Linked DNA regions of Cricetulus griseus. The protein of the gene in region 3 interacts with the protein of the main gene of each other region in a biochemical or structural test. Links are inferred from orthologs where the notes say so. Each region holds a gene or a part of one and is shown on either strand. Other genes may lie near its edges.

The links. The genes of interacting proteins can lie anywhere in the genome.
Region 1: the proteins of Arf1 (region 3) and Pld2 form a complex in vitro, tested with the Homo sapiens proteins (2 studies listed by BioGRID). The link is inferred for Cricetulus griseus from reciprocal best matches to the Homo sapiens genes ARF1 and PLD2.
Region 2: the proteins of Arf1 (region 3) and Cyth2 are reported together in a solved structure, tested with the Homo sapiens proteins (3 studies listed by BioGRID and IntAct, with this or other methods). The link is inferred for Cricetulus griseus from reciprocal best matches to the Homo sapiens genes ARF1 and CYTH2.
Region 4: of the proteins of Arf1 (region 3) and Agap1, one has a biochemical effect on the other in vitro, tested with the Homo sapiens proteins (2 studies listed by BioGRID, with this or other methods). The link is inferred for Cricetulus griseus from reciprocal best matches to the Homo sapiens genes ARF1 and AGAP1.

Annotation. Positions count from the first base shown.
Region 1 is NC_048600.1:84,350,024-84,355,885, reverse strand, and holds the start of Pld2 (phospholipase D2), read right to left. Parts: upstream 3,513-5,862; 5' UTR 3,320-3,512; intron 3,124-3,319; 5' UTR 3,123-3,123; coding exon 3,014-3,122; intron 2,924-3,013; coding exon 2,793-2,923; intron 2,780-2,792; exon of another isoform or gene 2,682-2,779; coding exon 2,539-2,681; exon of another isoform or gene 2,517-2,538; intron 2,271-2,516; exon of another isoform or gene 2,158-2,270; coding exon 2,052-2,157; intron 1,965-2,051; coding exon 1,899-1,964; intron 1,556-1,898; coding exon 1,497-1,555; intron 1,444-1,496; exon of another isoform or gene 1,382-1,443; coding exon 1,289-1,381; exon of another isoform or gene 1,264-1,288; intron 1,200-1,263; coding exon 1,047-1,199; intron 617-1,046; exon of another isoform or gene 541-616; intron 247-540; coding exon 97-246; intron 1-96.
Region 2 is NC_048599.1:154,707,418-154,713,320, forward strand, and holds the start of Cyth2 (cytohesin-2), read right to left. Parts: upstream 3,513-5,903; 5' UTR 3,322-3,512; coding exon 3,303-3,321; intron 3,084-3,302; exon of another isoform or gene 2,233-3,083; coding exon 2,085-2,232; intron 1,989-2,084; coding exon 1,922-1,988; intron 1,445-1,921; coding exon 1,326-1,444; intron 802-1,325; coding exon 721-801; intron 137-720; coding exon 24-136; intron 1-23. UniProt on the Homo sapiens protein: Acts as a guanine-nucleotide exchange factor (GEF). Promotes guanine-nucleotide exchange on ARF1, ARF3 and ARF6. Activates ARF factors through replacement of GDP with GTP.
Region 3 is NC_048600.1:73,271,397-73,276,135, reverse strand, and holds the end of Arf1 (ADP-ribosylation factor 1), read left to right. Parts: intron 1-982; 5' UTR 983-1,018; coding exon 1,019-1,166; intron 1,167-1,251; coding exon 1,252-1,362; intron 1,363-1,536; coding exon 1,537-1,661; intron 1,662-1,789; coding exon 1,790-1,951; 3' UTR 1,952-3,071; downstream 3,072-4,739. Other genes in the region: CUNH1orf35 (multiple myeloma tumor-associated protein 2), read right to left, coding at 4,355-4,475, 4,600-4,728. UniProt on the Homo sapiens protein: Small GTPase involved in protein trafficking between different compartments. Modulates vesicle budding and uncoating within the Golgi complex. In its GTP-bound form, triggers the recruitment of coatomer proteins to the Golgi membrane.
Region 4 is NC_048595.1:441,110,189-441,115,914, reverse strand, and holds the start of Agap1 (arf-GAP with GTPase, ANK repeat and PH domain-containing protein 1), read right to left. Parts: upstream 3,513-5,726; 5' UTR 3,039-3,512; coding exon 2,132-3,038; intron 1-2,131. UniProt on the Homo sapiens protein: GTPase-activating protein for ARF1 and, to a lesser extent, ARF5. Directly and specifically regulates the adapter protein 3 (AP-3)-dependent trafficking of proteins in the endosomal-lysosomal system.

The DNA.
Region 1 (5,862 bases), about 11 Mb from region 3:
TCAGAGGAAATAAACGAAGATCACGAACTCAGAGAATACCAAAGGGGGCAAGAAAGCCACATAGAAGCTCAGAAAGGAAGGAGATCAGGGTCTCACCACCGGGCCAAGGTGCCGGGCCGGGGCGGGGCATAGCTGTCATGCCGATGTAGCTGTAGAAAATCTCTGCCTGGCCCCTGCGCCAGCTCCATGATCTCCTGGCCCCACCACCGTGCCTGCCGATAGCTGCCACATTTGAGAATCAGGGACCTGGATGGAAAGGAGAAGGTCTACCACTAATCCCTCTCCTTCAGCCTACAGTCTTGTCCAGAGAGCCCCCCTTTTGGCTATTACCTTCTCTTAATTCCCCCATTAGCCCCTAAGCTGGAATCCACAGACAGTGCAGATATCTGCTTTATTCGTAGTTGGGTTCCCAGTGAACAGTACTGTATCAGGTCCTCATTCAACAATGTTATTGTTATTGTTGAATGAACAAATGGAGTTTAATTTCCTTCCCTTTTCTCCCTCCCTTCCTTCCTCTTCTCTCTCACTCTTCTTTTTAAGGCAGAGTTTCACTATAGAGCTCCGGTTCTACAGAGCCAGTCCTCCTGGCTCAGCCTCCCAAAGGCTAGGATTACAGGTAAGCACTACCATGCCCGGCTCCTTTTCTTTTTTATGTCTTTAGTGTGCATGTGTGCATGTGTGTGTGCAGGTGTGAGTGAAGATGCCCACCGAATTCAGAAGAGGGTATCAGCCTCACTAGAGCTGGAGTTACCAGTGGGCATAAGCTCCAGTTATGGGTGGGCATAAGCCACCCAATGTGGGTGCAAGGAACGGAACTCGGGGCCTCTGCAAGACCACTATCCACTCTTCTCTCTCTAGCCTCCAAACCCCTGCACTATAGGCCCTTACTCTAGGAGTATCCTAAATATATGGATAGACTAGTTCCCTGATTCAAAGCTCTGGCTGGACCAGGACATGGAGGACTGAGAAGCTTTCCTCTCCCCCATGGTGTCTCCAGCTCAACTCCCCTCAGGTCACAGAAGGCTCTCACACCAGGGAGGCCTTACCTGTGGGAGGTGTCGATCCTCACCCCATACCGAGCCTCTGTGCTCCTTTTCCCCACCTGCACCTCAAAGCCAGGGTCGAAAAGCTGAACAAATGAGATGGTGCCAGTCTCCAGGCGCATGTACAACAGGAAGGAGTCCTTCACCACCAGCCATCTGGAGGGGAAGGGCTGTGTATACTGTCAAGGTCCTCCAGAGTTCCCTCTTCACCTGCCCACAGACCCCTGCTCAATTCCAGCCCTCACCTCTTGGACCATCGATAACAAACTTGGTCTCGGCCACAGCAGGTGAAGCCAGGAACTCGATGCCCGCCTGAGCGCTTCCTGATCACCCCTTCCCTACAGGGACAATCGGGAGAGTTGGGGACTCTACGCACTCATACTACATGTTTTTCAAGCAGGTAGATGGGGACTGATGTCTGCAGAAGGCTAGGCGGGGGATTCCCACACTCACAGTCCTTTGGAGCCGAGGTCTGGGATAAAGGAAAGTTGACTGACTTCTAGAAATTCTGTCTGCAGAGGAAGAAATAAGCTCAGGAGGAGACTTGGCTTTTTAGCCCCTTAGCCTTACTTATTCTGCCCCTTTGTCGTCATCTAATTAAAAAACCCCAGGCATCCTAGGACATGATGGCACAGGCTTTTACTCCCAGCACTTGGGGAGGCAGAGGCAGATAGATCTCTGTCCATTCAAATCCAGCCTGGTCTACAGTAGTTAGTTCCAGGCCAGTCAGGGTTACACAGTAAGACCCTGGAGAGAGAGAGAGACAGGGACAGAGAGAGAGAGAGAGAGAGAGAGAGAGAGAGAGAGAGAGAGAGAGAGAGAGATACACCCAGGCATCTAGACACTGGACCTTACCATGGCATGGTAATTTCGATAGAAAGACATAGTCAGGAGGCGGTTGAGGTAATTTTCCAGGTATTTCTGAATGGGGGTGGGAAAGAAACAGATGTAGCCAGAGCCTTGTGCATACTACAACACCTTGCTACAGGACCTGGTGTTAGGTCATACCTGCTTGCTGGCTGTGTGTCTGGTGGAGCCCTCAGAACCTCCTCGGGGTAGGGAGGGAATGTCCTCATTGGCTGCCTCTCGGGCTGGAGAACTGGCCACAGCAAAGCTATACAGGAGGTAAGAGAAGGCTCAGGGAAGAGCTGGCAAGCTAGATGCCTGAAACACTGGAGACAGGGCCTTGGAGTGGGAGAAAGGCTGGCAGAAGAAAGGGTCTCTATCCTGGGAGTGGAGACAAGTGGGGTGGGGTGTTGCCAAGGACATTTTGGGCATCCAGCCTGGCTGAAATGTTGGCATAGTACCATGGACAAAGAGAACCAGAGGAAGTTTCTTGGGAACCAGGGTCCAGCACAGAGCTGGGGGAAGGAAAATGGCTGTGAAGAAAAGGTTACAGTAGGTTGGGGGTGAGATAGGCAGACAGGAGTAAAGACTGCCATGGGGTGAGGACTATCTGTCTGCCTTTTACAGGAAGCACTCTAGTCCCACTCACCGAGCCAAAGGGAGCAGACTCATCAAGACTTTGTGTCTCTGGAGGTCCCGATGCAGCTCCTGAAAGTGTCGGAATTTCTTCTTGGTTGTCCAGGTAAAGTCACCATGAGTCAGGCGGACAGAATATAGAGTACAGGTTCCCACCTGGGGGTATAAAAATCTGAAAATCATGTCTTCAGAGTCTTCCGGCCCAACCCAACCCTCCACTTTGGCCAGGCCTCCCTCTCCCACCCTCCATGGTACCAGCCCAACCACCTTGGATCCACTGGTGTATCTTTCAGTGCCCACCACCTGGGCTGTAACCGGGACACCAGGGGCAAACACCAAGGGGTGCACTTTCAGGGGCTGAAGGTCGTAGATGGCCAGAAAGGGGTGCATTCGATCAGCTGGGAGGGAAAAAAAAAAGCCCAAGGGTGTAGATCTCAGGAGACCCAGATCCCTATCCTCCCCTCTGTGGGGGCCATCTCCTTGTGTACCTGGATCCTCTCCTTCCCTCAGAGTGTCAACTTCATCTGGCTCCATGTGCAACTGGCTGGAGTCCAGGTAGTCCCCATAGGGAAAGAGGTTCTCCTGGGTTGCAGTCATCCTAGGAATATGAGGAAGCCTCAGGAAGGGACTCGCCCATACAGAAACACCCTTCCCTATCCTAACGCCCCCGGCCCTCACCCATCTCATTCAGCTGACTCCCAACTTCTACAGTTGCAGACCGACGCCCCTCTAGCCTCCCATCTCTGCAACCCCCAGCCCTGCCTCTCATTCCGTATTCAGGGTCCAAGAAGCACCTAGCCAAGCTGGGATAGCCTCGAACTGGGGCGAGGTAAGTCCAAGGGAGGAATCCCGGTGACAGCTGGGCTCAAAGTCAGGCCAGACGGGCTGGAAGCGAGGGTCCCGGCGGGAATGAGGAAGTTACGACGCGTTCCCCGCCCAGCAGAGAAATCCCGAAATCTGAGTGTGCGGTTGAGTCAGAAGGCCGGAGCAGCTCCAGCTGGACCCCGTCGCCGATCTCAGCCGCGCCACGTCCCCGGCCCCTCACCCTGGCTGCGGGCGCCCGCACCCGCGCGGGTTCGCAAGCACCGGGAGCAGAACTCAGAGAGGAGCCCACACCCCAGAGGGTCGGGGCGGGACCGGGGCTCAGGGCCTCACCTCCGCGGGTGGCGCATCAGCCGCGTCCCGCCCCCGCCGCCTTCTACGGGCGCAGCGATATAGACGCCCCGGCCCGGCCCAGCCCGGCCCGCCCACTCCCGGGGCCGCCCACTCCCGGGGCCGCCCCCTCCCCAGGGCCGTCCTCTCCCGCTGGATGCCCTCGGGGGTGCCGAGCTGGGAAGTCCAGCATCCCCGAGTGTGTGATCCACCCTGCTCACGTTCCTCTACTGCGCGCGCGCGGGCCTTGGGTTGTCTGGTCTCCAGCGCTGCCTGGAATCTGGGCGGAACTGGCCTCGGTGGCGAGAGAGGACCTGCTGGTGTCCCCTTGCTGAGCCCTGTACAGATAGCATTTGTTGATGGGAGGTAAGAAGAGATTAAAAAGCCAGAAGGATGGTGACTACAAGTTCGTTGCAGTATGAAAAGTCTCATTCTTCTTTCACTAAACGTTTATTGCTCAGTAGAGATTAGCCAGACATTGAGGTACGGTAGCAGCCCAGAACATGCTGACTTGTAAGTTCCAGTCTAAAACAACATTTTTTTTTTTTCAGATCCTAAAGGTCATCAGTCTGTCTTCCCTTCCTTCTTTCATTCCCTCCCTCCCTCCCTCTCTTCCTTCTTTGTTTTCTTCTACATTTCCACTGATAAACATTTGAGTTGTTTTAGTTTTCGTCCTCGGGAAATAAAGCTCCCATAAACATTTATGTACCAGTCATTTCTCTTCGGTAAATAACTAGAGTGGAATTACTGGATCATATAAGTGTATGTTTAACTTATAGAAGACTGTCAAGACCTGGGCTTGGGCTTGACAGTTTGTAGCCCAGCAGCAAAGAGAATGTGGCAAGAGGACTGTAAAGCTTGGGAGTGGAGGCCTGCTGAAGCTTCACAGAAAAGCACCCCCACCCCCCACCCCCAAAAAAGGATCTGGAGAGATGGTTCTGTGCTTAAGGGTACTGGCTGAGGACCTAAGTTCGATTCCCAGCATCCATATGGCTGCTCACAAATAGATGTAACTCCAGTTTTAGGGGATCTAATGCCCTCTTCTTGCCTCCATAGACGCTGCACACACAAAACATGCATATACACAAAATAAAAGCAAAGAAAAAGTTGAAAATAAAAACCCCTTTCAAAATGGCTCTTCTATTTTACATTCTTTTTCTTTTTTTTAAGACAGGTTTCTTTTTGTTTGTTGTTCTTTTGTTTGTTTGTTTGTTTGTTTGAGACAGGGTTTCTCTGTGTAGCTTTGGAGCCTATCCTGGCACTCTGGAGACCAGGCTGGCCTCGAATTCACAGAGATCCGCCTGCCTCTGCCTCCCGAGTGCTGGGATTAAAGGCATGTGCTACCAACGCCCGGCTGTTTGTTTGTTGTTTTTGTTTTGTTGTTGTTATTGTTGAGACAGTGTTTCTCTGTGTATCTCTGACTGTCCTCGACCATGCTGGCCTCAGATTCACAGAGTTGCCCACCTCAGACTCCCGAGTTGTTGGCATTAAAAAGGTGGGTGCCACCACAGCCAGGTCTATTTTACATTTCTAAAAAAACCAGTAAATAGTACTTCTATGATTGTTACTCCATAGCGTGCACAGTGCACATCCAATGATGTAAGTCTTTAGTGTTACCCATCTGAGTGGTGTGAAAGGTATGGCATTGCAATCTTAGTAGTACATCTCTGGCCCGGTGTGGTAGCCTTTAATCTCAGCACTCAGGAGGCAGAAGGAGGCTGATCTTTGTGAGTTCATGGCCAGCCTGGTTCTAGGACAGCCAAGGCTGTTACACAGAAAAACCCTGTTTCGAAAAACAAAATGTACATCTCCAAATATCAATGGTCTTAACTATATTTCATATGCTAAAGTATCTGTTCATCTTTCTCTAATTTAAAAAATCTTATATGCATACAAATTAAATAGGATCTCTGTATGTCGCTGGTTCTCAACCTTTGGGTCCTATCTCAAAAAACCAAACAACACCCCTCCCCCCAAAACATCTCCACAGACTTGCCCAAAAGTGTGCTCATTCATGTCTTACATATTTTGTGGTTGTCTTTGCTTTTGTTGTTTATAGAAGATGGTCTCAGCTTGATATGTAGACCAGGCTGGCCTAGAACTCACAGAGATCCACCAGCCTCTTTCTCCTGAGTGCTGGGATCAAAAGTGTGCGCCACCCCAATAAGCTCAGGTAAGGTGTGTG
Region 2 (5,903 bases), on a different chromosome or scaffold from region 3:
CAGGCCTTGCCCCCTGGTCCTACCTGTAGACTGGAAGACCCCAGGGTTACACAGGCAGTATCGCTGGGCAAAGGCCTCCATCATCCGGTCAATTTTCTGAGCCTCTCCAGGGAGGCGAAAGCTCCATAGGAATTGCCTGGTTAGGGGAGAAATTGGTCTGGCATAGGTTTCAGGGCTGGGAAAACACTCTACTTTCTTAAGTCTCTGTCAGAATCGGACAAATCATTATCCAAACCTTGCCCATTGTGATGCACACCTTGAATCCCAGCACCCAGGAAGGAGGGAGAGGCAGGTGGATCTCTGTGAATTCGGGTCCAGCCTGGTCTACTGAGTTCCAGGCCAATCAGGGCTACACGGTGAAATGCTGTCTGAACCCCAACCCCCCAAACAAACAGAATCAAAATCTCTTGCCCCAGCTGCTATTTCAGTAGGCATGTAATTTGATCAGACCAGTAGGTTCTGGCCATGGATTCTGGTGGATCTATAGTGGAAAAGTCTTTTTTCTACCCCGAGTTGGCTAAACTGGACTGGGGTTGCCAGGTGCTTTTTTGCTGTCATGTAGGAAGATCCACTGAATACACCAAGAGAAAGCCTGAAGGAGGCCCCATCTGAACTTGTTTATTAGAGACAGTCATTTCCTGACTGTTGCATCTCTGTTGGAATGGTATGTTCCTCACAACTGAGAAAGTCCTGGCAGGTACATTTCTGTCCCATTCTCACCGCAGGGCCTGCACCAGATTAAGGTCGGTGAACTCATGCAAATCCACAAAAGCATGGAGCACAGATAGGTTTAGCTCTTCCCTGGAGGAGGGAAGAGAGAGAGTCCCATCAGGAGGAGTGACAGGAGCCATAGCAGTATCATCTCATTTACTATGCCACCCTCCTGCAGATGAACCTTGTTCTTGTAGCTTGTCAGATCTTTGAGTACACAGACCACCTGATGTCATCTTGCAACTGCTCTCACGCTTCCCAGATGCCTTTATCTCAGAACTGACCTTTGTCTAAGAATTCATAGCTAGTTCCCAGTTGCTATGCAATCACATGTCCACAGGTCTCCAAACACTTGCAGCTCTGACCCATGATAAAAACTTCCAGACAATACTTTCCATATGCTAGCTTGTATATGCGTGGTTAAGCCAGTGACACTCAGACTTCAACAGTGTCCTTGTTTACTGGATGACTACAGGTCCATCTCCCTCTAGTTTCAAGCTCCCTCAGAGCCAGTCAGTCCACTATATCATGACCCAGGTGGAGGCCACAAACCTGCTCTACCCATGAACTCCTATTGAGGCTGGGAGTACTACTGTACAGGCTGGGCAGCTCACCTTTCCCCGAGGTAATCCCCAATGGCTGTCTTGTTCAGCCCCTCACCCTTGTACAGGAAGCGGGCAATTTCCTCAGGTGTGTTCTGCAGAAGTTCGTGTTCTACCAAGAATTGGATCCCCTGGATGGAGGATGCCAGATTTATGCCAAGGCAGAGGCTGCTGCTCCCCATCCAAGCCTCTCCACCCTAACAGAGCATGGTCATCCCTAGCCCATCCTCTCAACCTCTGCCTAACTGATTCCGGCATGTATAGCTGGAACAGGTTTGAAGAATAATTGAATACATGATACACTGTATAAAAAAAGAAGCAGATACCTACCCATCAAGCTGTAAACACAGCACCCCTCCCTTACTGCCATATCTCACCTTGAACTGTAGCACTTACACCTAGGGGGATCCCTCAGAGTAAGGCAGGGTCTTAGCATTCCCAGCATTGCCCAGCACAGGACCGGGCTCCCAGAGGCCTCAGTACATGAACATTCATGGAACAGATGGACAGGGATCAGGAGTCTTGCCTAGAGGAAACCTATTATCTTAACACTTCTAGAACCTAGGATATCAAAACCATGCCTGAATATATCTGCTCAGCTAACTAACCTTCTTGGGGTCCATGTTGAACTTCTTCCTGCCCATTGCCATCTTCCGGTTCCGCTGCAAGGTCTTACTGCAAAAGCAGGATGGGCAGCAGCCAAAGGTCAACACTTGAGCATCCAGGGCCCTGGCCAAGCCCTGTGTCCCACGAGCTCGCCACAGTCCTCACCTGCCCTCATTGGCCTCCAGACCCTCCACCTCACTCATAGCTTCACTCAGCTCCTCTCGCAGGCGCTGGATCTCCACCAGCAGCTCCTGCTTACGCCGTCGGATGTTCTCTAGCTCCATGCGCTCCTCCGGAGTCAAGTCTGGGGGCTCTAGGAGTCAGGGTCAGGAAATGAGTTCTGGGGGGGCCAAGATTAAGGCTAAGAGCCTGGATTCCTGTCCAGAAGAGAAATGGCTACTACAACTCTTAGGGAAGAGGGAGTAAGACTCTGAACCCTTAGTCTGGGGCAGAAGTGCCTGGGAATCTCATCTCTTAATAGGTCTGGGGATGAACTTCTGGGCCCATTACTTGGAAAGATGGAGCCCTGCCTTCATCATGAAAGTGTGGACCTAAATCTTGGGTGTATTACTTGGAAAGGAACCAGTCCCTGGGCTCCTGGACCCATCACCACAATGAGGAACTCTTGGGATGTTACTTTAGATGTTTTACTTGGATGCCCTGGTTCCTTGGTTCCATCACAGTAGAACGGGAGGCTTGGATATTGAAAACATTACTTGGAAGGACACAGGGCCTTGGGCTCATGGCTCCATCATCGCAAGGGATCTGGGGCCCCAGATCCTGGGTGTATTTCTTGGAAGGTAACAGGTCCCTCCATCATGGCTGATGACCTGGGATCCTGGACCTTGGGTGCATTTCTTGGAAAAACACCAATACTCTGGTTCCTGGGTCCACCACGGTGGGGACCCTGGCATGGAGCTTGGATACATTTCTTGTAAGGAGGCCTGATCCCTGGCTCCACAATAGTGGGAGAGTTGGGGTCCTGAATCCTGGGTGCCTTTCTTGGAAAGGAACCGAGGTTCTGGCTCCTGGATCTGTGGTCTGAATCTTGGGTGCTCAGTGAAGACAAGCCATGGCATCACGACCGGGGTCAGGATCGGTAGGGAGGTCACAGAACCAAGGTTCGCAGCAAGAAAGGCAGCGGCTCGCGCGGGTGTACGTCCCGCCCCGCCCCGCCCCGCTCTTGTCGCTCCGCCCCGCCCCCCCGCCCCGCCCCGCCCGCCGCCGCCGGAAGAGGGCTCGGCCCAAACAATGGCCGGGACCCCCGGCTCTCGGTCGCGCCGGAAGCCCGTTCCGCGCGCACAAGAGCGCCTCGCTACCACCGCTCGGCTGTCCTTGGCGGGGCTTGGGAGCCACTCCGCCCTCCCGCCTCGCCTGGCCTACCGTAGACACCGTCCTCCATGGCGGCTAGAAAAGCCCGCGGGGAGTCCGGGGCGGTTCCGCCGGCTGGGCCTGAGTCCGCGTCGGCCCGCGGGCTCGAGTGAGCCCGCTCAAACGCCCCAGGAGCCACCGCCGCCTCCTCAGCGCCAGTCCTCAGCGCCGAAAAGACTCTCCCTTCACGGCCCAACCGCCCGGCCGCTGGGGCCCGCCCCTCGCTTTGACACCACCCAATCGGCTGCGGGTCTCCCAGACTGCTCCGCCCCCGAAACCACAGGATCATTTCCAGGACCAATAGACACACAAGAAGCGGTTGCAGGCACGTACAGCTAGCGATAGACTGTTAGAGTGACCAATCGAAGTGCGTCCAGGGGCTTGGTCCCGCCCCCGAAACAAAGGAAAATCCCTGGCAGCTTTATCCTCCAATAAGAAAACTCAAAAAGGAGGGAGCAGGAGGTGGGGATTCGTGGAGCAGGGAGGATTGCGCCTGCGCACGAGCCAGACTAAGACGGCCTAACCTTTTCAGAAATTCGTTGTTAGGGGGTGGTATTTGATTAGTCTTGTTGTCAAGGGCGGAGTCTCAACCTTGAGGTGTTTCCTGGGACCACACCTCCTGGCCCTCCACGCTAGCTTTTGACCGCGGCGGTTGCCAAGCAACTGGGAGCCGCACAGTCCTGTCTTTGCCTTCTTCCTCAGGGTACTTCTGTCTCAGGCAGTGGCTGTCTCTGAACTCTTTCCGTACCACCTCACGTGACTTTCCTCCACACCTCAGTCTCCTCAGTCAAAGGATGGTAAAATAAAGGCATTATCCCTTCCAAATGTATTGGGGACCACAAATACCCTGGATCTACCCTCCTGGTGCTTTCTCTCTTTCAGGCTCTTCCTCTCTCCTAAACGCTCGTCTTAGCTTCCTCCTCCTAAAATCCCGCCTTCCCCAGATATTTGCCCAAGACATCCTCTTCCCTCAGAATCTTTTTTTTTTTTTTTTTTTTTTTTTTTTTTTTTTTTTTTTTGGTTTTTCGAGACAGGGCTTCTCTTGGCTTTGGAGCCTGTCACAGGCACTCGCTCTTGTAGACCAGGCTGGTCTCGAACTCACAGAGATCTGTCTGCCTCTGCCTCCAGAATGTGCACTGACTCTCTTGGCAGCACTCCAGGTCTCTGTGGTTAGGTCCTCCTTCCACCCAGCTTTTCAGTCCTCAAAGTCCTGCCCTTCTTAATCGCCTCCCCCTCCCAGAATCCTTTCTGTTTTGCAGGAAAAGCAGTGAGGGTCCTGTCTGTGATGGGGACTCTGGCATATTTGTAAATCATAGGCCCATAATGGGGCTGATGTGACTTCCAGGTCTTGTCCTCATTTGTGTCCCTGGGCTGCACAGGTCGGGAGGATTCAGAGCCAGGACTTGGTTAAGTCTTTGGATTAGTCATGGAGCCTCCTAATCCCCTCTCTGACCTTTATGAGTGGCCTGACCCATGCCCTCCCTTGCTGGAGACCTGGTTGTGCCAATCCTATCCCACCCTCTACTTCCCAATAGAACCACATGCCCCTGCCTCTTTACATCAGCTTAGCAATTTTCTCCACTATGGTCTCCATCATCCCTAGTCCTTCCCTGCCCTAGACCCAGGGGTGGGAGAGCTGCCAGCTAATTAATCCTGTCCGGTTATTACCTGGGGATTCTGAAGGATAAAGCAAGATGAGAGCCAGAGAGGGCATGGGTGGGTGGATTCACTCAGGCAAGCCAGTGCCAATGCTGGCTCTCTGTTGGGAACAAGGGAGAGGGCACTCCCTCCTCCTGGCAGCTCCCCTCCTGCTGGCCACCAGCCTGCTGGGCACTTAGGTGGCTGTACTATGGGTGAAGACCAAGAACAAGGACCAACATTCCAGAAACACAGGCACCCTGCTGGAGCTCCTGAGCCTTTACTACAATGATAGGGCTCCCCTGAGAATTCCACTTTTCTCACAGTGAACATGACCCTGGAGATAACAGCTGCCCCTTCCATCCCCAGCCCCTGACCTGGAGCACTGACTCTTGGTGATAGCTCCTGCTTCCTCTTGCTGGTCCTATAATCTACATACAATATGGAACCAGCCATCAAGTCAGTATCCCCTTCCAACTACCCCTGGAATGCTGTGTGTTTCAGTATGAGGGTGGGGACAGGAAATGTTAGGACCTGCACTGTATCCTAGCCTCCATCAGGTGAAGGGCCATCCTGTTTGGGAGGACCCTTGGAGAACTTCATGCTCTAGTGGCCCTTGTTCCAGGAACTGAAGCAACACAAGGAAAGGTTTGCCTAAAGTCCTGAAGTTACTTGGAGTTGCTGGGATTTAAAGTAAGTCTTCTAAGATCTCTGCAAGGGGCTCCAATTGGCTTGACTCTGTTCACATCTTATTACAGGAACCAACAGAAAAGACAGAGATCTGTATTTATATCATATATAGTACACATATGTATAATATTTTTGAGAAACAGACACACATCACTAGGTATAGTATTCCAGAATATTTTAGGCTCACCAGCCTCAGCCTCTCCCTTCCCTTGCCCCCTAGTTAGCCCTGTGACCCTCTAGGCTCTTGCTTGCAAGCTCCGCCCAGAAGAGTGCTTCCTAGAACTA
Region 3 (4,739 bases):
GTGCACAGACACATCTCTTTCTGAAGGCTCCATGGCCTTCTATTTGCTGTTACTATTAGGAACTAACAGCATTTAAGAATGCAGTAGAGTCCATTTGGATGAAAAACAAGTGGCCACCTGAGGTTGAGACCAGAACCCTGGAAGCCTTAGTATCCTTTCCAGAAGCCCTAAACATCTGATAGGCTCTGGTAAATTGGTGCCAACTTAGTTGATTGGCACCTCTAGTGTTTCTGTTCTGCCAGTGGACCCTACTGAGTGTGTGTACATGCCCTTACAGGAACACGTCTTCACATTTGCCTGTCCTCATAGGAGCATCCTTTTGTATAGGTCTTCAAGGGAATGTGCTGCTGTGGTTTACTGTTTGGGTCTCTACCTTCTTGGGCTGTTTGAGATGGATAGAACATTGCCTTAACAACTGTCTCCCATGGCCTAGATGACAGAAATGCCTGGAGATGTGACACCACATTCTTTCTGGGCTTGTCCTACTGTCACCAGGGGGTGATGGAGTATTTGGCCTGTAGTATTGAGCCTAGAGTGTGACCAGCTTTCTAGTTGCAATCTGTGCTACTTTGAAGTAGAGAGAGATGTAAGGTGGTTCTTTCTGATCTTGTGAAGACCTCTGTTAGTCTGTAAGAGGGCCTCATGTGTCTCTCAAAGTACTTTTTAGAGAGTAAACATGCCAGTTTCCCAAGTGTGAGTGTACACGGATGTAGTTAGATGTTCTGATAGGTGAATAGACTTGGGATACAAGGGGCTTTTCTGGTATCTGTGCCTTCCTAGACTAGTATGTGGCCCTTAGATGCTTAGGGAGTCTGGTGGACAGGGTTCTTTTTTTGCCACTTGGAACCTGGGATTGAATTGAGATCTCATGAGGGATGAGAGAAGGCTTGGGGCAGGGGGCTCCTAGGTAGGTGTGTCTCTGACCTGCCACAGGGCCTAAACTAGCAGCACATAACAGGACTGGAACAACTTGCTTCCCCAGGTCTCTGGCCAGTATCGCTTCCACCTGTCCACAAGCATGGGGAATATCTTTGCAAACCTCTTCAAGGGCCTTTTTGGCAAAAAAGAAATGCGCATTCTCATGGTGGGCCTGGATGCTGCAGGGAAGACAACAATTCTATACAAACTGAAGCTGGGTGAAATTGTGACCACGATTCCCACCATTGGTGAGAGGCTGGGCCAGGGCCAGGGTGGGGGTTGGATTTGGGGTTCTGGAGTACAGAGGGCACTCAACTGTAACCCTGCCCCCAGGTTTCAACGTGGAGACAGTTGAGTACAAGAATATCAGCTTCACCGTGTGGGATGTGGGTGGCCAGGACAAGATCCGGCCGCTGTGGCGCCATTACTTCCAGAACACCCAAGGTGAGGGGTCGATTCTTGTCGTGGATTCCTCCTTTGTCTTAAAGGGATGCATTTCTCACTGAGCCTCGTGACTTTTCCAGTTGTATTGTGGCCAGTGGGAAGACTGAATCTAGAGCCTATGGGTAGACCAGATGGGCAATCTTCAACATGTGCAGTAATGTTTTCCTGTTGCAGGCTTGATTTTCGTAGTGGACAGCAATGACAGAGAGCGTGTGAATGAGGCCCGTGAGGAGCTCATGAGGATGCTAGCTGAAGATGAGCTCCGGGATGCAGTTCTCTTGGTGTTTGCCAACAAGCAGGTAGGCACCAGCAAGGTCCTTCCCTGATGGAGAAACCTGTGTCAGGGGAGAGAGAGAGGGTGGGTGAGAGAATGCCCTGGGTGACTAGCTGCTGCTGGTCCCTGCCACTAATTCCTCCTTTCCCCCAGGACCTCCCCAATGCCATGAATGCGGCCGAAATCACAGACAAGCTGGGGCTGCACTCTCTACGCCACAGGAACTGGTACATTCAGGCTACCTGTGCCACCAGTGGGGATGGGCTCTATGAAGGACTAGACTGGCTGTCCAATCAGCTCCGGAACCAGAAGTGAACCAGACCCCTCCCTCCCCCTTACTTCCTCCTCTCCGCCCTCCGCTTTCCTCTCATGTGGCAAACGTGCGACTCTGTGGTCCTGAGTGCCAGAAGCTGTCTCCATGGGTTGGTCACAGTGTGCATCGCACCGTGCTGTACATGTGCAGACGCAGCCTGCAGCCAGGTTTTTATTTAATGTAAATAGTTTCTGTTTCCACTGAGGCAGTTTCTGGTACTCCTATGCAATATTACTTAGCTTTTTTATTGTAAAAAGAGAATCAACTCACTGTCAGTACTGAGAAGGGATTTGGGTGTAGGGGCACCTGGCCTCCGGGAGCCATTGGGCTGTAAACTGGTGTCAGTATCCATTTGGTGGTTGGTTTTTAACCCAAACTCAGTGCATTTTTTAAAATAGTTAAAAAATACAGGACAAGAACACTTGAACACACAGAAAGGAGACTATGCCTAGTGTAGGTTTTGCAGTAATGGCCTGAATGCTAGTCCATCGGATCACCTGTTCCCCTATGGGAACAGGAGAGAAGGTGACAAACCACCATCCGCTGCATGGTCACAGTAGAGCCCCCGTGACTCGCCTGTCTTTGGGTCACCTGCATTCCATAGCATTGTGCTTGTACTTGTGCTCACATGGTCACCTAGGGGTTGGCTGGGGGCCATTGTGGGGTGCAGGGCCTGGCTTGTATTTGGTGTGTGGCCGGGCCAGATGGCAGCCTACATACCCAGCTTACTCTTGGGCCCACTTGGACGCGCTGGCAGGAGGCCTGGGTCTCACCAGCAGGAGCGCGTGCAAGCTGGGAGGGTCAGTCCATTCCAGACCCACATCCTGGAGCACCCCCATCTCCATGTGTGAAGTAGCTTTCTCCCTCAGCCTGCAAGGGTCCGATTTGCCATCGAAAGACGACCTCTACTTTTTTCTTTTGTATTTTGATAAACACTGAAGAAGCTGGAGCTGTTAAATTTATCTTGGGGAAATCTCAGAACTGGTTTATTTGGTGTCGTGGAACCTCTTACTGCTTTCAATACACAATTAGTAATCAACTGTTTTGTATACTTGTTTTCAGTTTTCATTTCGACAAGCACTGTAATTATAGCTATTAGAATAAAGTCTCTTAACTATTTGATGGGCTTGTGTATCAGTGTCACCACTGCGAGGCTGCCTCCTAAGAGAGCCCTTTTTAAATTTGAGAGAAAACAGGTGCCCTCTACGCCCTGGTAGAAGTAAGATCTGGGTGGCTCCCCTCAACATCTCAGAGTTACTACCAGCCTCAGTGTGCTTTGTGACAACTGAGGTGTGCCTCCTGTCCCTTCAGTAGGCAGCCAGCTTTGGGGTGGTACATATCTCTGAGTAGGTGTGGCCACTAGGAGATCCAAAGTCTACCGTCCTGAGTGGGTCCCTGCCTAAGTGGATAGACCTTCACCCCCTTGAGGTGGTATTTTAGATAACTAATCTTCACTCATGTTTAGGTGGCTACCTGCAGAGCACAGGCCAACAAACAAGCTACAACTTGAGTCTCAGGACACTTTAGGGTCTGCCCAAGAGTACACACACCCAACAAATAAGCTTTACAATCAGAACACTTTGCTGTGTGGAATCCACCCTAATTTCTACTGTCTGCCCATGTATGTATATAGACTCTAAAATTGCTATTATATGGCTGTGGAACCCACTGCCTCTGCTTAGGTAGAACTAGATTGGACCTCTTGGGCAGGTTGCAGATGCATTCGTACAGAAGTTTGTTCTAACTCTTTGGCCTTGGGGTAGTCTCAAGGACAGGATTCTGGTCCCTAGACCCAGTGCCCTCAGGTATACTCGATGGACGCCCCATGCTAGGACCACAGGCTCCCAGCCTAATGTGCCCTCAGTGAGATGATACACTCTACTTTTAAAATACATTTACTTATGTACAAAGTGGGTTGATACAAAAAGTAGAAGTAACCAGATACACACACACACACACACACACACACACATACACACACACACACCTAAATCTCAAGGGCCTGAACTGTGGCAGCAGAAACAGGAATCTGGCCTTAGTCTCCTAGGCAACTGTATCTTCCTTGGAATGGGGGCAAGGCAAGTTACTACCCTCACACAGTCACCAGGCTGTGGTCACCCAGGACCCCACTCCTCAGCAACATGGGGTGGTTGCCACATCAGTTGCCTCCAAATGGCAAGATAGACTCCAAGGTCCAACAAGCTTGGTTCAGAATCCTACCAGAGAGCAGCCACCTGCCTTATCCCAGATAGGGATGGGATGGTTAGTCTGGGCAAGTAGGGAAGGGGCTGGTAGCCAATTGGCATCCAGTGACTACTCTTTATAGACCCCACAAAGCTTGGTGGTGGGCAAGGTCCCAGCTCAGGGCAACCAAGGCTCTGGTGTCCTTTGGTTTAGCCACATTCTCAGTCATCAGAGCCTCTGTCTTGTCGTCTTCGGGGTGGACTCCTTCCATTGTCCTGGCTATGTCCCCGCTTCCTCTTACAGCAGGGGGAGAAGTCAGAATCATGTCTCTGGTGTCTGGGCCTAGGAAGACAAGGATAACCAGATACTTGAAGGGTCTCTCACGCTGCCAAGCATCCCAGTAGGCTTGGCCAGCTCTGCCCCCCACTTCCTTAGTGCCCCCAAGGTAGAGTTGGGCCTAGCCTACCGAGGAGAGGGAGAGGATGGGCAGCTGTCAGTCTCCCTCTTGTGTTCTTTGTCTTTCTTCTTCTTGTGTTTCTTGTGTTTCTTCCTCTTTTTCTTCTTTTCTTTCTTGCTTTTCTTGTGACTCTCTGTACTGCAAGAGAG
Region 4 (5,726 bases), on a different chromosome or scaffold from region 3:
ATCTTATTGTATCGGCCTCAACCTGTTTTGTCTTTTTCCCCCTTTCTGAGACAGGGTCTGATGTAGCCCAGGCTTCAAGTGTGATATATATCAGAGGCAGATCTTCCTAACTGTACTTCCCAAGTGCTGGGATTAGAAACACATTCCATCACACCCAGCTTGTGGGTTTTCCACATGACCCATAAAGTTTGTGGTGAAGGTCTGTCCACAGAGACAAGCAATAAGATCATTACTACAGTCGTTAACTATTAAAAACTTGCACCCCTAGGGGGCAAACTTCCCACACTTAACACCTTTACTATTGCAAACCCACTTTCAAGTGTTTGTCCCAAAGGATGAATCAAAACCTCCAATGCTTTTACCTTGTGTCCAGGTGCAGCTGAAGCACACTCATGTCAATCATGTCTGTGCGGTTCCCCATCTCCGTAAGACAGGGACTTATCTGGAATCCAAGCAACTAATTACTGTTCTCTACCAAGTCCACAAAAACAGAGATGCAAGCCTGCTGTTAGAGTAAACAGGGACCTTTCAATTCTCACTTCCTCTGTGCAAATGACAACAGGCACTTCCTGCAAACCAACTCTTTTTTTCTTCCTCATTTATTTATTTTCATGGATGATCTTGCCAGTTGGCATTGTGGTACATATGGAGAGATCAGAGGACAACCTGTGGAAGTTAGTTCCCTCCTATCACTGTGTGGGCCATGGGGATCACACTTGATCACCAGCTTGGTGGCAAAAGCCTTTACCTGGCTGAGTCATTCTCAGTGGCCCCCAAAAGAACGCCTGCCATTTTCTAACACTTTAAAAGCAGGGAGAGGGGGAGAGAGAGTAAGAGGGATTAATGATTGCAGTGGAGGAAGGAGTGTGCCAAAGTGCTACAGGGCATGTTAAAACTAGACAGCTAAGGCAACTCAACCAACCAAGTCTGGTGACAGATAACTTCATAGCAAAACAAATAAAACAAACAGGCAAGCAGGCCATGGCAGAGTTTGGCTCCAACCCTCCTCTTCCTAGTACATTCCTAGGCAGCAATATGAGAATAGTTTGTCTTCCATGGGTCCTCTGCCAAGGTTGATTTTAATGTGAGCCTGGACCTAGGGCAGTCAGCTAGCTTGGGATGGAGGGAGCCAGTTGATGATGTAGGAACCACTATACTCCATTGCTTCTACCTTTGTGGTCATCAGCCCACCTTTTTGTAATCAGAAGCATGATTAAGGAGTCGCCCTACTGAAATGCCCCCCCACACACACACACACACATAGTAGTAATATAACAATTACTCATCCAGGTGATATACAGAAACCAGATCCATGCTTCGTGGTTTCAAGAGACTTCTGACCCCAAATGCTATCTATCATATGGCTAATTCACCACCACTTTCAGTATCTACCTCCAGAAACTTCTCCACAAGGCCCTAGTAGGCATGGGAGAAACAAGACACCCCTGAACTTTCAGGATGGGCTTCAGGACTGGCCCCTCATTCCCTAACATCCTTTATCCGGCTTGCTTTCCCTGGTGACATGTGGAGGGAGAGGGGCCTGGATGTCTATCACCAGCTCTCGAGGGCTATGAGCTGACTCTACCCAAAGCTCCATAGGTGGGACCACCCAGATCAGCCATCACTGCACTCAGACGGTGAAACCAACAGCAGCGTGTTGCGCTGAAGGAGGCAAGATCAACTCAAAATGAATGTGAGCTCCTCATAGCTGGCCAGGAGCTGCACCTGCATAGCACAGTCCAGGACCAAGGCTGCTATGCCACCCCACCCGCCACCGGACCCCCATCTGGGCAAAGGCGCACTCTAGACCCCATCCTACAGATGGAGAGGGCTGAGCCAGCAAGTGGGGCAGCAAATGGCCAGGTAATCTTACCCTAGTCAAGCTCACTAAGACCAGGTGACAGGCCCAGAACTGCTAAAGCACATAAAGCCTGGGGTGACAGCTATTCAGGACCACCCAGGCTGCTGCAGTGAGTGGCAGGAAAGTTCACATCCTCACGACCACTGGCAGGCCAGACACCAGGGAAGGCAGGTGTTCTCTAGGGGCCCTAGGCTGCTGGAGCGCAGGCCCAGCCCCCCACTGCTCTCAGGCCTGTCCAAGGGCATCTCCACCATCCCCCGGGCTGCCCACCTCTGCGCGGAGACCCCTCGATGCTCTCGGCGCTAGACGAGTGCGTGTCTGCCGGAGCTCGCCGCAGACTGAAGTAACCGCGGGAGCGCAGGGCGCCGCTGCGGGGTGAGGGCCCACCGTCCCTGCGCGCGAAAATTCCGCTGAAGAAGCGCAGCAGCCGGTGCTCCGAGGCTGCCCCGGGGCCGGCTGCCGCGGCCCGCGCGCGCTCTAGCCGCTGCAGGTCGCTGTTGTCCAGCGTGCGGTTCTTGCTCTTGCTGCGCTCCCAGCGCTCCAGGTCCGAAAGCGCATCATTCTTGCTGAGCACCTCGCCTACATCCAAGGTGTTGCGCTTCTCCGCCACGGGCTGCGCTCCGGTCACCAGCTCCGGGTCGACCTCTGCCTCGACCTCGTCGTCGGGCGCCCATGCCAGGCTCCCGGAGCTGCTGTGGCGCCTCCCGCCGCTCAGCGCAGGGCTCCGCGGCGCCTCGGGCTCGCTCCAGTGCCTGAAGCTGAGACTCCGCCGCAGGGGCGCGGCCCGAGCCTCCTCCCCATCAGGGCTGCTGGGCCCCTCGGCCGAGGGGCTGCCCATCAGGTCCGTGGGCTCTGTGTCGCGTGTGCACGGCCGCAGCCGCCCGAGCTCCAGCTGCCCGGTGCTGCGTGTGCGGAAGGCGCGGAAGTCCCAGGCGCGCGGCCCGGCCTCAGGATCCTCAGCCGCCGCCTCCTCGGCCTCCTCTTCCAGCCGCCCGGGCGCGTCCGGGGAGCGCGCGGGCCGGAGCCGCCGAGTGGGGAGCGGAGCTGGAGCGACCAGCTGCTCCTTCCTGACCATGGTCACCGAGATGCGGTAGACAGTCTTCCTGGGGGGCGTCCCGCGCGGCATCGCGTCCGCGGGCGGCGACGCGGGCTCGCCGCTGCCGTCCAGCAGGTACATGTCCCCAGGGGCCGCGGCCGCCGCGCCGCCCTCCGAGGCTCGACTGCATCCAGCGCCGCCGGCCGTCGGGATGCGCGCCGCAGGCGCAGAGCCGGCCAGGTGCACAACCCGGGCCGGCAGGGAGCGGCGCCCACGCCCCCCGCGCGCAGCGAGGCCCGCGCTTAGGCTGCGGGAACAGCGCCCCTGGAGTCCGCCTGCCCGCGCGCCACGCGGCCCGAGTGCCGGGGTCCGCGCCTGGAGAACCGAGCCATGGGGGACCAGGGGGGCGCTCAGGCGCGGAACCCGCCTCGCCGGCAGGTGCGGCCTGGGCGCGCAGGACCCGCTGCGGGCGGCGGCGCCCGCGGCTTCATTGTCTAGGGCGCGGGGCCCAAGCGCATCCCACGGCCTTTTCCTGCACAGCTCGGCGGTCCCGCAGCCTCGCCTCGATCCCCGCGGGTAGCTGCGCCGAGCGCGGTCGGTCGAGGGGCGGGCGGTCGGGCGGGCAGCGGTTTAAAATGGAAATGCGCGCCGGGGCGGGGCGGGGCGGGCGGAGGCCGACGTGCGGAGACTGCGGGCCGCGCGCCCAGCGGGGCCTGCGAGTCCCGGGAGCGCGGAGGCGGCGGCGAGCGCGGCGTAGGGAAGGCCCAAGAGCTGGGCTGGATTATCGCCGCGCGGAGCGGATCAACCGGGCGCAGTAAACCTATACCATTCTCCAGGACCTGCTACAGGGTCATCTGAGGCCTCTGCTATCCGTGTAGCTTATAAGATGAAACTCAAATGACTTGCTGAAAAAGCACTCCCGAGGCTGAGGCAGAAGGATCGTAACTCTGAGGCTAGTAATTCCAATCCACCCAACAACAAGGATCTCAACAATAACAACTATTTCTTTGGAACCTGTAACCTCTAATGGTTAATTCCTAGAAAGCAAAAGGAGCTGGATGGCTCAGCAGTTAAGAGCACTGACTGCTCCTAGAAGATGGTATTAGTGTCCCACAAGCCACACAGGGAGTCACAACCATCTGTAACTCCAGATCCAGAGGAGCTGATGCCCTCTTGTGACCTCCAAGGGGGCCTGGTGTACTTGATACACCTAAATTCAATCAGATACACATAAATAAAAAATAATTTTAAAAGAAGACAACAAAAAGTAGTTGCTCCCTGAGGCACTGGGGCAGCATTTCTCTAAGATAATTTATAGGGTATTTTCCAAAATATAAATCTGCTACCTGAGCAGCAGGCAACTTGCCAGGCTCCTCTCCTTCCTAACCATCTGGGTTCTCCAATTTTAAAATGGAAATAACAGTTCTCTAGCTTACATTAGCACTTTGGGGGGCAACTGGAACTGGCCCTGGAACATAGTTAAAACACTATGAGCCAGGCATGCACACCATGAGTATCTAAAGTTGCATTTCCCTTCATCCTTCATGCCCCCTTCTTACTGGCCCTGGCCCTCACCTCCCACAAATGCTCATCTGTGACTACACCCCCATGTAATACAGGATTTATATACAACCATCAAGCCAGTTCTTCAGACCATCTTGAACACAGATGCACTGTTAGTCATCTTGTTTACAGGATCCAGGAGGAAAATGCAATATACCCACCCTCCTTCCTCCTCCCCTTCTCCAGATGCAGATGGAGGGTCTTCTCTTGGCCTGAAAAGGCCACAGTTTCCTGGAGGGTACATCTAGACAAGGTGCAGGCAGCTGTGAAGGTCAGGCATTTCTAAGGTCTCTCCAGCTAGTCACTCTGTAATCTCACCACAAAATTTCGGGGGTATCTGTTCATGTCAGTGAAAGTGGTATAAAAATGGATGGGTCAGGCCTCCTGAAAGAGACTGCAGTGTAAGAAACCAAGATTTTAAAGAAAAAAAAATATTAGAAAAGTTTCTATGTGATTCATTTACTTGTTGCCAGCATGTGGTGCGTGCGTGCGTGCGTGCGTGTCTGTGTATCTATATGAAGGCCAGGGGTTGATGTCATTATCTTTCCTCAATCGACTCTTCATTTTATACATTAAGGCAAGGTCTCTCACTTGAACCCAGAACTTGATTTGGTTAGTCTAGCCAGCCAGCTTGTTCCAGGGATCCCCCAATCTCTGTTTCCCAAGGGCTGGGATTAAAGGTAGGCTGCTACATCCACCTGACATTTAAGTGGGTACAGGGGTCCAAAGTCCTGTCCTGGTATTTGTGTGGCAACCACTTCTCCCACTGAGCCACCTCTCCAACCTCCACCAAAAAAAAAAAAAAAAAATGTTTGAAAACATAGCTAACCACCAGTGGCTTCTACCTCAATCACATCAGCTACAGGCCAGGTATAACTTCTGTTTGAAACCCTTGGTTCCTGCATTGGTTCTTCAGACACAGCATGCATACTAAAATGTCTAGATTCATCCCCATCCCATTAGGAGGATGCAGAGGCTCAGAGAGGGTGGGGACATGCCCCAAGACTACACAGCTCCTGGGTGAGTGGAACTTTGAGTCAGACACTCGGTGCCCATACCTGCACTAATGTCCTTTGTGTCAGCAGCTTTAGGAGCAATGAAGTACAAACAAAATGTGAACATTACTGGCCTAGCCTCCATCAAAAAATTAAGCAAAACCTTGATATTACCAGGAAGTATTAGCATATTTTCTTTGTTTTCCTATTGGTTCATCAAACTGTGTGTGTGTGTGTGTGTGTGTGTGTGTGTGTGTGTGTGTGTGTGTAT